Linked DNA regions of Callithrix jacchus. Each later gene encodes a partner of the first gene's protein in a complex. Links are inferred from orthologs where the notes say so. Each region holds a gene or a part of one and is shown on either strand. Other genes may lie near its edges. The genes, in order: DLG4, HTR2C and SHISA6.

Region 1 (3,645 bases):
CCTCTCCTCATTGCCATAGAGACGTGGCTTCGGTTGCCCAGGCAATTGGGGAAGCCCCTAGGACCAGCCTAAAGCTGGCCCCGCCTGGGAGTCTAGAGACCAGGCAATTGACGTCAGGGACCTGGGCACGCCCCACTTTAACCCTTTCCCCGAAAGAAGTAGGGGGAGGGAGTAGAGGAGGGGTATAGGACCCGGATGTCTTTCTCCACGCCTCCTTCCTGACGTCCTTTGCACTGCATAGGGTGAGGGGCGTGGGGGAGAGAGGAAGGCAGGTTGTTCAGGATGCGCTGCACCCTCAAACCTCTTCAGCCTGGCCTCCTCTCGGCCTGGCTAACGCGGGGCGGGGCCCAGGGCAGGAGAGGCGGGGTTAGCGGATCCCTTCTGCACTCGGGAGCCTGGTCGGCCTCAGGCCACGCCCCACCCCCCTGTTGTCCTGACGACAGGGCCTCCTGGAGGTGGGTCTCCCCGGGTCTTGGCTGGTCCTAGATACCGTTGCTAGGCAACACGGTCCCTAGAGGAAGGGGTGGATTGGACGGCTGGTAGCTGAGACCGAGGGAGGGGCCTGCAGCTGGGGAAACCCCGGATTCCCGAGGCGCAGGGTTTAGGGCAAATGTGTGTGAAGGTGAGGGACAAGTCTAGGGGAGGGTTATGAAGATATTTGGGTAGATATGGAGGGGTTGGGGGGATGGAGCAGGAAGTGGGACCAGGAGCCGGTGGACTTGAGCCCTGGGGTGTCCGTGTGTAGCATATAAGGCATGTGGTGTTACATCCGGTGAGAAGCTCCCTTCCCCCAAGCCTACCCCCCTCTCCCCACTCTGCCATCTGCTGCTCCCCTCTCTGTCTGGCTGTCTCCCTTCCCGCTTTTCTTACACCTCCTTCCACATGCAGGGGGCCTGGGCTGGGCAAAGTTAGAGTGGTGTGTATGTGCATCTGTGGTATGTGTGTGCGCGTGGGCCTGTGTGGTGTGCATTGAGGCTGGGTCCTTGAGCAGCTCTCAGGGTGGGGGAGTGGGCTTGGCTGAGAGGCTAAGGGGTAGCCACGCTGATGGGACCTCCGTTACGGGCTCCCTCTTGAGTCAAGGCTCAGGAGGCTTTTTGTCTCTTATTTCCCCGAACAGGCCAATTCTCCCCCTGTGATTGTCAACACAGATACCCTAGAAGCCCCAGGATATGTGAGTTGTTTAGATTTTGGGGCTGGGACCATGGTAGAAGAAAGGAGGGAGTAAGGGAGGGCAGCAGATGACAGGCAGGTTGTCAGGCGGGAATGTCTGTCTCACTGCTTTTGTGTTTCTATCCCGTGCTGGAGTTGCAGGTGAACGGGACCGAGGGGGAGATGGAATACGAGGAGATCACATTGGAAAGGGTGAGCAGGCTCCTCCATCAGTGGTCCCCTTAGCTCCTGATCTGTACCTTTCTTTATGCCCATGTGGTCTGTATGGTCAGCCCCTCATCCTGTCCCTTCCTGCTCTGGCTGCCACTCTCTACCACTCTCCAAGCCATTTCCCACCCCACTTACCTTGCCAGAATTGGGCAGTGAGGGGAGCTGACCTCTTCCCCTCCTTCATCCAGGGTAACTCAGGTCTGGGCTTCAGCATCGCAGGTGGCACTGACAACCCACACATCGGTGACGATCCGTCCATTTTCATCACCAAGATAATTCCTGGTGGGGCTGCGGCCCAGGATGGCCGCCTCAGGTGGGGAGAGGAGACGGGTTAGGATGCTGGTCCCTTGAGAGGGAGGGCCAGGGCAGCAGGAAGCCCTTGGCTTAGGCCCACCTTGTTGTTCCCAGGGTCAACGACAGCATCCTGTTTGTAAATGAAGTGGACGTGCGTGAGGTGACCCACTCAGCGGCAGTGGAGGCCCTCAAAGAGGCAGGCTCCATCGTTCGCCTCTATGTCATGCGTCGGAAGCCCCCGGCTGAGAAGGTCATGGAGATAAAGCTCATCAAAGGGCCTAAAGGTAGCAACTCATTTTGTTCCCATCCTCATCCCAACTGTCCTGTGCCCCAAAGCCTGCTTCCTGGGCACCTGGGCACCCACCTCTGGCCTCCCCTCCATCCAGGTCTTGGCTTCAGCATCGCAGGGGGCGTAGGGAACCAGCACATCCCAGGAGATAATAGCATCTATGTAACAAAGATCATCGAAGGGGGTGCTGCCCACAAGGATGGGAGGTTGCAGATTGGAGACAAGATCCTGGCGGTGAGGACCCCATCTAGCCCATTTTCTAGCCCAGATCTGGGTCTCACCTACTAGCCCTGGACAGGCCCAAGTTCATCACTTCACCCCAGTCCCTCTGTCTTGGGCCATCTGTGGCTTTGTTTGAACTTTGCTTTCCTTGACTCCAGGTCAACAGTGTGGGGTTGGAGGATGTCATGCATGAAGATGCTGTGGCAGCCCTGAAGAACACGTATGATGTTGTCTACCTAAAGGTGGCCAAGCCCAGCAATGCCTACCTGAGTGACAGCTATGCTCCCCCAGACATCACAACCTGTGAGAGCCCTTCAAATGCCAAAGCTCCCCATGACCCATCCTGTTTAACCCCATGACATGCAGCCCCATGACATCCCTGTAGCTGTCCTTCTTCAGATATTCCCCATGAAATAGCCACAATCGCTGATCCTTGCTGTGGCTGGAGAAGAGATGGAAAAATCAGTTACCATAAGGAACTAGAGAAGATTGTCAACGATCTCTCCCCCAGAAGGCACAAAGCCCAGGTGGTTTGATGACTAATTTTACGAAATTCTCAAAAGATAGATAATTTTTCTGTTCTTTTAGAGTACAGGAAAAGATATAAGATTTCACATTTCATTGTGTAAGGCCAGTTCAAATGGTCACAAAGATAACATAAAATAAGGAGAGTTTTGCTTTTGAATAGAGATGCAAAAGTTTACAACAATATAGTAGCAAACCAAACATGGCAGCATTGTAAGGGAATAACATAGGGTTTGTTTCAGAAAACTAAAGATGGCTCAATATTAAGAAATCTCTTAAATATGATTCATAAAAAGTCAGCCAGGCAGAGTGGCTCATGCCTGTAATCCCAGCACTTTGGGAGGTCAAGGGGGGCGGATCATGAGGTCAGGAGATCAAGACTATCCTGACCAACATGGTGAAACTCTGTCTCTAATATATATATATATTATAAAATTAGTTGGACGTGGTGCATGACTGTAGTCCCAGCTACTTGGAGGTTGAGGCAGGGGAATTGCTTGAACCTGGGAGGCAGAGGTTGCAGTGAACCAAGATTTTGCCACTGTACTCCAATCTGGCAACAGAGGGAGACTCTATCTCAAAAAAAAAAGAAAGAAAGAAAAAAAAAGTTAAGCCGGGCTCAGTGGCTCGAGCCTGTAATCCCAGCACTTTGGGAGGCCGAGGTGGGTGGATCACGAGGTTAAGAGATTGAGACCATCCTGGTCAGCATGGTGAAACCCCGTCTCTAATAAAAATACAAAAAATTAGCTGGGCATGGTGGTGCGTGCCTGTAATCCCAGCTACTCAGGAGGCTGAGGCAGGAGAATTGCCTGAACCCAGGAGGCGGAGGTTGCGATGAGCCGAGATCGCGCCATTGCATTCCAGCCTGGGTAACGAACGAAACTCTGTCTCAAAAAAAAAAAGGAAAAAAAAGTTAAGGGTGGCCAGGTGCGGTG
Region 2 (3,645 bases), on another chromosome or scaffold:
GCAGTTGTTTTGCATGAGAAACATATTGTATATAAGCAATATAACATGTACCTGATTGGTTTTTTTTCTTCTTAATTTTCAGTGTGCACCTAATTGGCCTATTGGTTTGGCAATGCGATATTTCTGTAAGCCCAGTAGCTGCTCTAGTAACTGACATTTTCAATACCTCCGATGGTGGACGCTTCAAATTCCCAGACGGGGTACAAAACTGGCCAGCACTTGCAATCGTCATAATAATAATCATGACAATAGGTGGCAACATCCTCGTTATCATGGCAGTGAGCATGGAAAAGAAACTGCACAATGCCACCAATTACTTCTTAATGTCCCTAGCCATTGCAGATATGCTAGTGGGACTACTTGTCATGCCCCTGTCTCTCCTTGCAATACTTTATGGTAAGTACAATTTTTTTCACTTTTCAATCTCATATTATGTTATAAGTTTGTGCCAGTTTGTGTTATAAGTTGTGTTATAGTAAACACTCATAAAATTAATTATTTTACTTGTAACATCTGGAAAAAGAAAAAAGCAAATTGTGTGACAGAAGGAATTGGATGTATGTATCATATTTATTAAATAAATCAGTAGCAGTCTTCAAAAAGCAAAACAGACATTTTATAATGTACTAAAATCATACATAGTTGCTTTCTTGCTTAGTGTCTTTTTAAACAATGAATGAACAGTTAGTTGCCTTACAATGTGTACTGAATGGAACAGTAACAGAAACATCTTTCAACCCCTGTGTTCTGGGAAGTACACATACCTACTACCATCTCTGATACCAAGAAGGAAAAACAGGCTCATCCTCATTAATAAATATATTTTAAGAAATCCTTTTTAAAGCTGCCAAACTAAGTGCTTGGCACAAAGTAAGCACTCAATAATAGATATTCTTCTTGTTGATGGAGTCTATGATTTGTGTTATTAGACAAGAGATAGCAAATTAATTACTAAGTATTTAAGTGCCAGTTCACATTATCACTATAAATATTCAGGCATTGAAAGTTTCAATATATTGATTTTAAAGAGGTTTTTAAATTTTTCTTTTGATTTTCTTCCATCCCTTCATTCTGTTCATTTTAACCTAAGGTTTTGTTTCTAGCTAATATTTATGATGAACAATCAAAATTGTTTATGCGATTCTACAAATGATCTTTACTAGGATGTTGGAGAGCCCAGTTTGAATTTAATTGCTAATATGCTTATCTCGCAAAGAAGTAAAATAGACTTCCAGTTGTCTGGAGTGTATAATGGAATTAGACTAGAAGAAATAATATTGAAAGTGTATCTACTTGTTGAATCTTAAAAGAAAATAAATACATCTAGAAAATAATCTCTCATGAAATATAAAAATTAGTTAGCCTGTTTTAAACCTACAGCAATAGTAGACTATCTTAATAGGTATTTTATAAAGTGTTCTCAGAAAATATGCCTTTCTTATTCTTCATCGAGTTTCAGTGATGTATTGCCCTCAAAGGACCAGTATTTTATCGGCTCAGTGGGCATTTTAACACTCTGTTGCTCCAAAATTAAGAAAAGGTTACTAGAATGAAGTGAAACTGTGATTTAGAAAGTATACTTTGTTCTGTTGTGTCTGTTTTGCCAGCTTCTCCCTTTAAAAAAAAAGTGAGTGGCCAAATAATGGTATTAGCATAAATCCAAGTCTCTTAACATATCTATTTTCCTGCCCAAATAAACAAAAAACAATAAGAAAACCAAAAAAGCCTACACAATACCACCATTAAGTGTAGGCAACATTCAAATTTCAAATTACCTGTAAGGAGAAAAACAAACAGGAAATCACAATGAACTATGTATTAGGCTCTTACCCCATGCTGTTATGTAGAAGAAGAGTATTCCAGGAGAAACAGCATGAAATAAACTAGGGGAAAGCTATTAGGAAGCCTAAGATTGATCTAAAATCATCACAAGTGGAGGGGCGTGGTGACTCATGCCTGTAATCCTAGCACTTTAGGAGGCTATGGCAGGCAGATCACTTGAGCTCAGGAGTTTGAAACCAGCCTGGCCAACATTGGGAAACCCCAGCTCTACAAAAAAAAAAACAGAAAAAGAAATACAAAAATTAGCCAGGGATAGTGGTGCTTGCCTGTAACCCCATCTGATACAGAGGCTGAGATGTGAGGATCATCTGAGCCCAAGAAGGCTGAAGCTGCAGTGAGCCATGATCGTGTCACTGTACTTCACCCTGGGTGACAGAATGAGACCCTGTCTCAAAAAAAAAAAGATTAAAACTATCAGAAAATTCGGAATAGAAGGGAAGTTCCTCAACTTGATAAAGGGGATCCACAATTATCCTTAAGCAGACATTGTACTTTACGGTGAAAGATTGAATGATTTCACCTGAAGTTCAAGAATAAGATCAGAATGTCTACTTTCACTACTCTTATTCAACAACATACTGCAGGTTGGAAAGAAAGGAGTAAAACTGTTTTGTTTAAAGATAATATAATGTCTACATAGAAAATCACAAGGGATCCACAAAGAAGCTCCTAGAAATAATACAGCATCCTGCTTCTAAAATGGCCCTGAATGATCCTTGCCACAATGATCCCCTCTCTGTTGGTGTGAGAATAGAGCAGAAGTGATTGGATGCTATTTCTGAGATTACATTAATAAAAGACTGTGACTTATTTCTTGCTTGCACTTTCTCTATTGCTGGCAATCTCTCTTGCCCATTCACCTGTTTGCTCTGATGAAGCAAGCTGCCATGTTGTAAACTGTCCTATAGAGAGACCCACAAGGCAAGGAATTGAGAGAAGCCTCCAACATCCAATGTGGATCCAAGGCCTTCAACCCAAAAGCCAGCCAGTTATATGAGCCACATGAGTGAGCTCACTGAAGTGGACTTTTCTCCAGTTCAGCCTTAAGGTGACACCTTGGCTGACACCTGTCAACCTGGCTGACACCTTGATTTTAGCCTTGAAACATGCTAAAGAAGAGTATATGATATGACCCGATGCCTGATTCACAAAAAACTGTGAAATAATTAATGTTTTCTTAAGCTACTAATTTGGGGGATAATTTGTTATGCATTCACAGATAACTGGAGTAACTATTAAGTAAGTTTAGCAAGCTCTTACAATGCAAAGCCCAGTAGCGATGGGAATTGGAAGTCAAAATTTAAAAGAGTCCCATTTATAATATCATAAAAATCATAAAATCGTAAGTGTAAATCTACCAAATTATGTGCAGTACCTGTGTGCTACGATCTTCAAAACACTGATGAAATAAATTAAAGACCCATATAAATGGAGAGATCTATTCTGATTATGGATTAGAAGAATCAATATTATAAAATGTCATTTCGCCCTCAAAGGATCTGTATATTCAACACAATTTCAACCAAAAATCTCAGCAGATTTTTTTAAATTAAAAAGCTGTTTCTAAAATTTATGCAAAAAGGCAAAAGAACTACAATAGCTGAAACAGTTTTGTAAAACAGCAAAATTGGAGAACTCATAATACTGGAATTTAGGACTTACTGTCAAGCTACAGTAATCAAGAAGAATGGTATTGTTGGAAGGAAAAGTACATATATGAATGGATATAAGTAGAGGATCCAGAAATCCACAAATATAAGCAATTAATTTTTGTACTAAAAGACATTTCAACAAAGAAAGAAT
Region 3 (4,169 bases), about 4.0 Mb from region 1:
AGGGAACCGAGATAGCAGCAAATGAGGAGCTGTGTGTGTGTGTGTGTTGGGGGGTGTCTGTGCACCCTCCCCCCAGCAGACGCCAGCCAGTATCAGGATCTCCCTCTTGTGTGTTGGAGTCTGAGTTCCAGATCCAATATATATCCACTCCACAGTTCCCAGAAGAGGAACTCTTCTGTTCCTTGATAGCGATCCCTTGTTTGGGTCACACATGAGTGGGACTGAACAGAAAGTCTCAGGGAAAATTCTCTACCGCCCTCACTCTGACAGTCTGTTCCCTTCAGCGAAAGCACGCCGGTCATGCAGGCAGAATCCTGGCCTTGGCCATCGCTTTTTGTTCTCAGTTCTCCCTAACTCCTCCGAGGACACATACCAAGGATGGTAACTATGATTCTCTTTTGGGGTGGCCTCATAGCTGTGAAAGTTAGACTCAGGCCTCCTTTCCAGACCCAGGTACGAAACTACCCCAGTAAGCCCCCGTCTCTGCATCTCCATCCTCCTCACCTCCCTTAGCAGCTGCAGCATAGGGATTTCAACACAGGGGTTACAAAGCTGAGTCTCAGAGGTTCAGACAGCTTTCTAATGGCCTTGAAGTTCCCAGGGGTGGGTGGGAGAAAGTCTAGCAGAGTTGCCACCCAGTCCTGGGGCTGTCTAGCGCCTTTCTACGTGGTGGGGACGGGGCTGGGGAAAGAACGACCAAGAGGAAGAAAGTATAGGCTTAGCTCACGGGTCGCCCAATAGCCTCAGACAAGCCACTTGACCCCTGGACTCAGTTTGGGAATCTGTAGCAATGGGTTTGACCTTTTCTCCTGGCTATCACCACTAGGGAGAGGCAAAGGCTTGCAGAAACCCCAACTCCTGTTCTGGCCGCACGCTTTGCGGGGCCTAGGTAGGGTGGGGACGGGTCGCGAGGGCTGGAGGGGGCAGTGGCGGGGGAGGTCTGTCCCTGCCGCGGGCCGTCTGCACAGTGGACCTTCCGTCCTGCTCCCGGCCCCCTCTTCGCCTGCCCAGTTCGCCGCGTTAACTGCTGTCCCGGGCTTTCGTGACGCTGAGCTTCAAGTGCCGCGATCGGGCAGAAGCAAAAAGGAGTCCCCCCGGCCCCCCCCGCCACGCCCCGCACCCTGAGCGCCCGGGCGTGCAAACGTGGGCGGCGGAGAGCCACTGCCCTCCCCTCGCCTCTCCCCCGCCCCTCGCGGCGCTCCCGTGTGTGCGGGTGTGTGAGTGCGTGTGTCTCCGTCGCTCCCTCTCGCACACGCTCCGGCACTAGTGCAGGCGGCGAGCCGGCAGCTCTCCGCTCGCTCGCTCGCTCCGGCCGCTGCGCTCCCGCCCCGCCGCCGCCGCCGCCGCCTCTGCAGTCGCAGCTGGGCATGGTGAGTGAGTGAGGTCCAGCCGCCGCGCGTTCCCCCGGCTCGCAGCCGGACCCCAGCCTCAGCCGTCTCCGTCCCAGGGAGCCAGCCTGCGGCGGGAGCGCGCTGTACGGCCGGGCGGCGGGGGACCAGGGCGACCGAGCTGTGCCTGGAGGGGCGGCCGGTGCGCCCTCAGTTCCAGGCGCGCAGGGCCGCGGGACGCGTCTTGGGAGCAGGCGCTACGCCCTCTCCCTGCCCGGAGCCTCGCTCCTCGAGGGCTGCGCGCACCCTCCCAGCCCGCCTGCCCCCGGTTCCCCTCCTGCTCTCAGAGCACCAGTCGCCCCACCCCGTGACCGGCTCCCCGTCTTGTCCCGCAGGACCCGCCCGGACGGGACCACGCCGCCGCCGCCCGGAGCCGCGCTTCGGGTCCTGCCTGAGTCGAGCCGCGCGCGGGGCCGCCGCCACCGCCGGCGGGGGATGGGGCTACCCGGGAGGCGCGCGGAGCCCACAGGGGGAGCGCGGAGCCAGCGCGCAGCCTGAGAGCCGGAGCAGCCCGCGCCGGGCCGGTCCGTGCGCACCGCGCGCCGCCGCCACCGCCACCGCCACCGCCGCCCGCGCCTGGATGGCGCCATAGCCCCGGCGCCGCTGACCGCTCCGCGCCTCCAGCCCGGCCCGCGCCGCGGTCCTCCTAGCCTGGCCGGCCGGGGGAGCGGCCTGCCGCGGAAGCCTCCCCGCGCCCTCCCGCCCGGCCCCGCCATGGCGCTGCGGCGCCTCCTGCTGCTGCTGCTGCTCTCGCTAGAGTCCCTGGACCTGCTGCCCGGCGCCCACGGAGCCCGCGGTCGTGCCGCCAACCGGACCCTGAGCGCGGGCGGCGCTGCTGCCGTCGGGGGCCGGCGGGCCGGGGGCGCACTGGCCCGGGGCGGCCGCGAGCTGAACGGCACCGCCCGGACGCCTGGAGTCCCGGAGGCGGGAAGCCGGCGGGGGCAGCCCGCGGCGGCGGTGGCGGCGGCGGCGGCGGCGGCCAACGCGGCCGTCACCTACGAGACGTGCTGGGGCTACTACGACGTGAGCGGCCAGTACGACAAGGAGTTCGAGTGCAACAACAGCGAGAGCGGCTACCTATACTGCTGCGGCACCTGCTACTACCGCTTCTGCTGCAAGAAGCGCCACGAGAAGCTGGACCAGCGCCAGTGCACCAACTACCAGAGCCCGGTGTGGGTCCAGACGCCCAGCACCAAGGTGGTGTCGCCGGGGCCCGAGAACAAGTACGACCCGGAGAAGGACAAGACCAACTTCACCGTCTACATTACCTGCGGGGTGATCGCCTTCGTCATCGTGGCCGGAGTCTTCGCCAAGGTCTCCTACGACAAGGCCCATCGCCCTCCGCGGGAGATGAACATCCACAGGTGAGAGCGCCGCGTGCTGCGCGCCCGGGTCGGTCTCCCTGCGGCCTCACCCTCTCCGCTTGCTTCGCCTGTCCTCTTCACTCTCGGCATCGTCACACCTCCTCTGGCCCTCTTAAGTCAGTTTACCCTCGTTCCTTTTGCATGCAATAAATCAGGGCGTTCTTGGGCCCCCTCCTCCATTTTTTTCCCCCAGAACCGGGAACGCATGCTTTGGTGGTCGGGGATTTACAAGACAGAGTAAGAATTGGTTGAGTGCGTGAAGTTCCAAGTGTAAGAATGTTCGAAATGCTGTAATCCTGAATGAGGATCCAGGGTTCTGTTTTCCTGGCATATGGGCACCTCGGTGTAGGCTCATGGCATTGAGTTTTTTTGAGTCAAATCAGAGTGTCATCTTCAGTATAGGGAACTGACCAGTGTTGGATGGAACCTTACTGAAAGGGGTACCAAGTGGCTTAGGGTCAACTGGGATGTTCTTGTGCATTAGGAATTAGGGTTTTATAGAAAGGATGCCTCCTGCCGGAAGAAGGGATAAAGATTCCTCCATTCCATGTTGACCAAGCACAGATGGTGTCTCTTCATTGCATCCTGTGGAGTGGGATGTTTGTCTTTCCTGCTGAGACTTGAGGACTTGTTCTTTGAAACCCTGTAGGCAGAACTCTGAGTTAACAGTTCTTGCCTGTGTTAAACCTGGCGGGGCATCTTTCACTGTTTATGTGAGAGAGGCGGCGGCAGCGCGGTGGGGGGTGGGGTGGGGGGGTTGCCTCCTACCAAAACTTACACCAAGAGCTCAAACTATGGCAGTCCCTGGTTCCACTCTGAATGCTGCCCGTTACACTGCCTTGGCCCCCAGTGAGCCCTTGGGGAAGTCAAAGCCAAGAGGAGGACAGAAACCCAGCTTCCCCCTTAGAACTCTAGGAATGACACACCCAGGGGATGCAGAGTTAGCTTGGCTTCTAGTCCCCTTATGATGATGGATGACTGGACATGATGCAAAAGTCCTCTCAGGGAACAAATCTTGCCCCAGGAGGTACCTCCATTTCTGGTGCATGGTGCTGCCCTAGTCACTGTGACCACCTCGCAGATCACTCCTTATGAGTTGGCCCTGCAGGCTCCCACGCTGACCTATTCACCTTGAGCTCATCTCCACGTCCTGCTTGCTTGTTATCCTTACCACCTGAAAACCTCCTTCCTAACCACCTGAAAACTGCCTTCCTCACTGCGTGCTCATTAATCACCCCTGCCTTGCTGAAGAGAGAGAAAGGCAGAGAGAAATTTCTAGGCATGCTAAAAGAGCTGATTTTTTTTCTTGCTTGATATTGTGGGTGTTGAGAGAAACGATACTCCCTGTCAGGTTTTATTGAGTCAAATCCACAAAGGGTGGGTACCTCAAACTCGGATATTGGAATTGGGGTAATTC

What was found.
Region 2: the proteins of DLG4 (region 1) and HTR2C are in contact, whole or in part, in an NMR structure (PDB 2MHO), measured with the Rattus norvegicus proteins. The link is inferred for Callithrix jacchus from reciprocal best matches to the Homo sapiens genes DLG4 and HTR2C. Residues at the interface, in NP_062567.1 of Rattus norvegicus: Gly74, Leu75, Phe77, Ser78, Ile79, Ala80, Asn85, Pro86, His87, Ile88, Thr97, Lys98, His130, Val134, Leu137, Lys138; in NP_036897.2 of Rattus norvegicus: Val452, Val453, Ser454, Glu455, Arg456, Ile457, Ser459, Val460.
Region 3: DLG4 (region 1) and SHISA6 share a complex: the UniProt entries of both Homo sapiens proteins name them as parts of the postsynaptic hippocampal AMPA-type glutamate receptor (AMPAR) complex. The link is inferred for Callithrix jacchus from reciprocal best matches to the Homo sapiens genes DLG4 and SHISA6.

What each region holds. Positions count from the first base shown.
Region 1 is NC_133506.1:73,692,984-73,696,628, reverse strand, and holds part of DLG4 (disks large homolog 4), read left to right. Parts: intron 1-235; exon of another isoform or gene 236-610; coding exon of another isoform or gene 611-622; intron 623-1,117; coding exon 1,118-1,171; exon of another isoform or gene 1,172-1,172; intron 1,173-1,303; exon of another isoform or gene 1,304-1,305; coding exon 1,306-1,362; intron 1,363-1,568; coding exon 1,569-1,693; intron 1,694-1,788; coding exon 1,789-1,958; intron 1,959-2,060; coding exon 2,061-2,197; intron 2,198-2,343; coding exon 2,344-2,488; intron 2,489-3,645. UniProt on the Homo sapiens protein: Postsynaptic scaffolding protein that plays a critical role in synaptogenesis and synaptic plasticity by providing a platform for the postsynaptic clustering of crucial synaptic proteins.
Region 2 is NC_133524.1:110,943,084-110,946,728, forward strand, and holds part of HTR2C (5-hydroxytryptamine receptor 2C), read left to right. Parts: intron 1-82; coding exon 83-396; intron 397-3,645. UniProt on the Homo sapiens protein: G-protein coupled receptor for 5-hydroxytryptamine (serotonin).
Region 3 is NC_133506.1:77,672,802-77,676,970, forward strand, and holds the start of SHISA6 (protein shisa-6), read left to right. Parts: upstream 1-1,262; 5' UTR 1,263-1,370; exon of another isoform or gene 1,371-1,723; 5' UTR 1,724-2,102; coding exon 2,103-2,752; exon of another isoform or gene 2,753-2,840; intron 2,841-4,169. UniProt on the Homo sapiens protein: Involved in maintenance of high-frequency synaptic transmission at hippocampal CA3-CA1 synapses.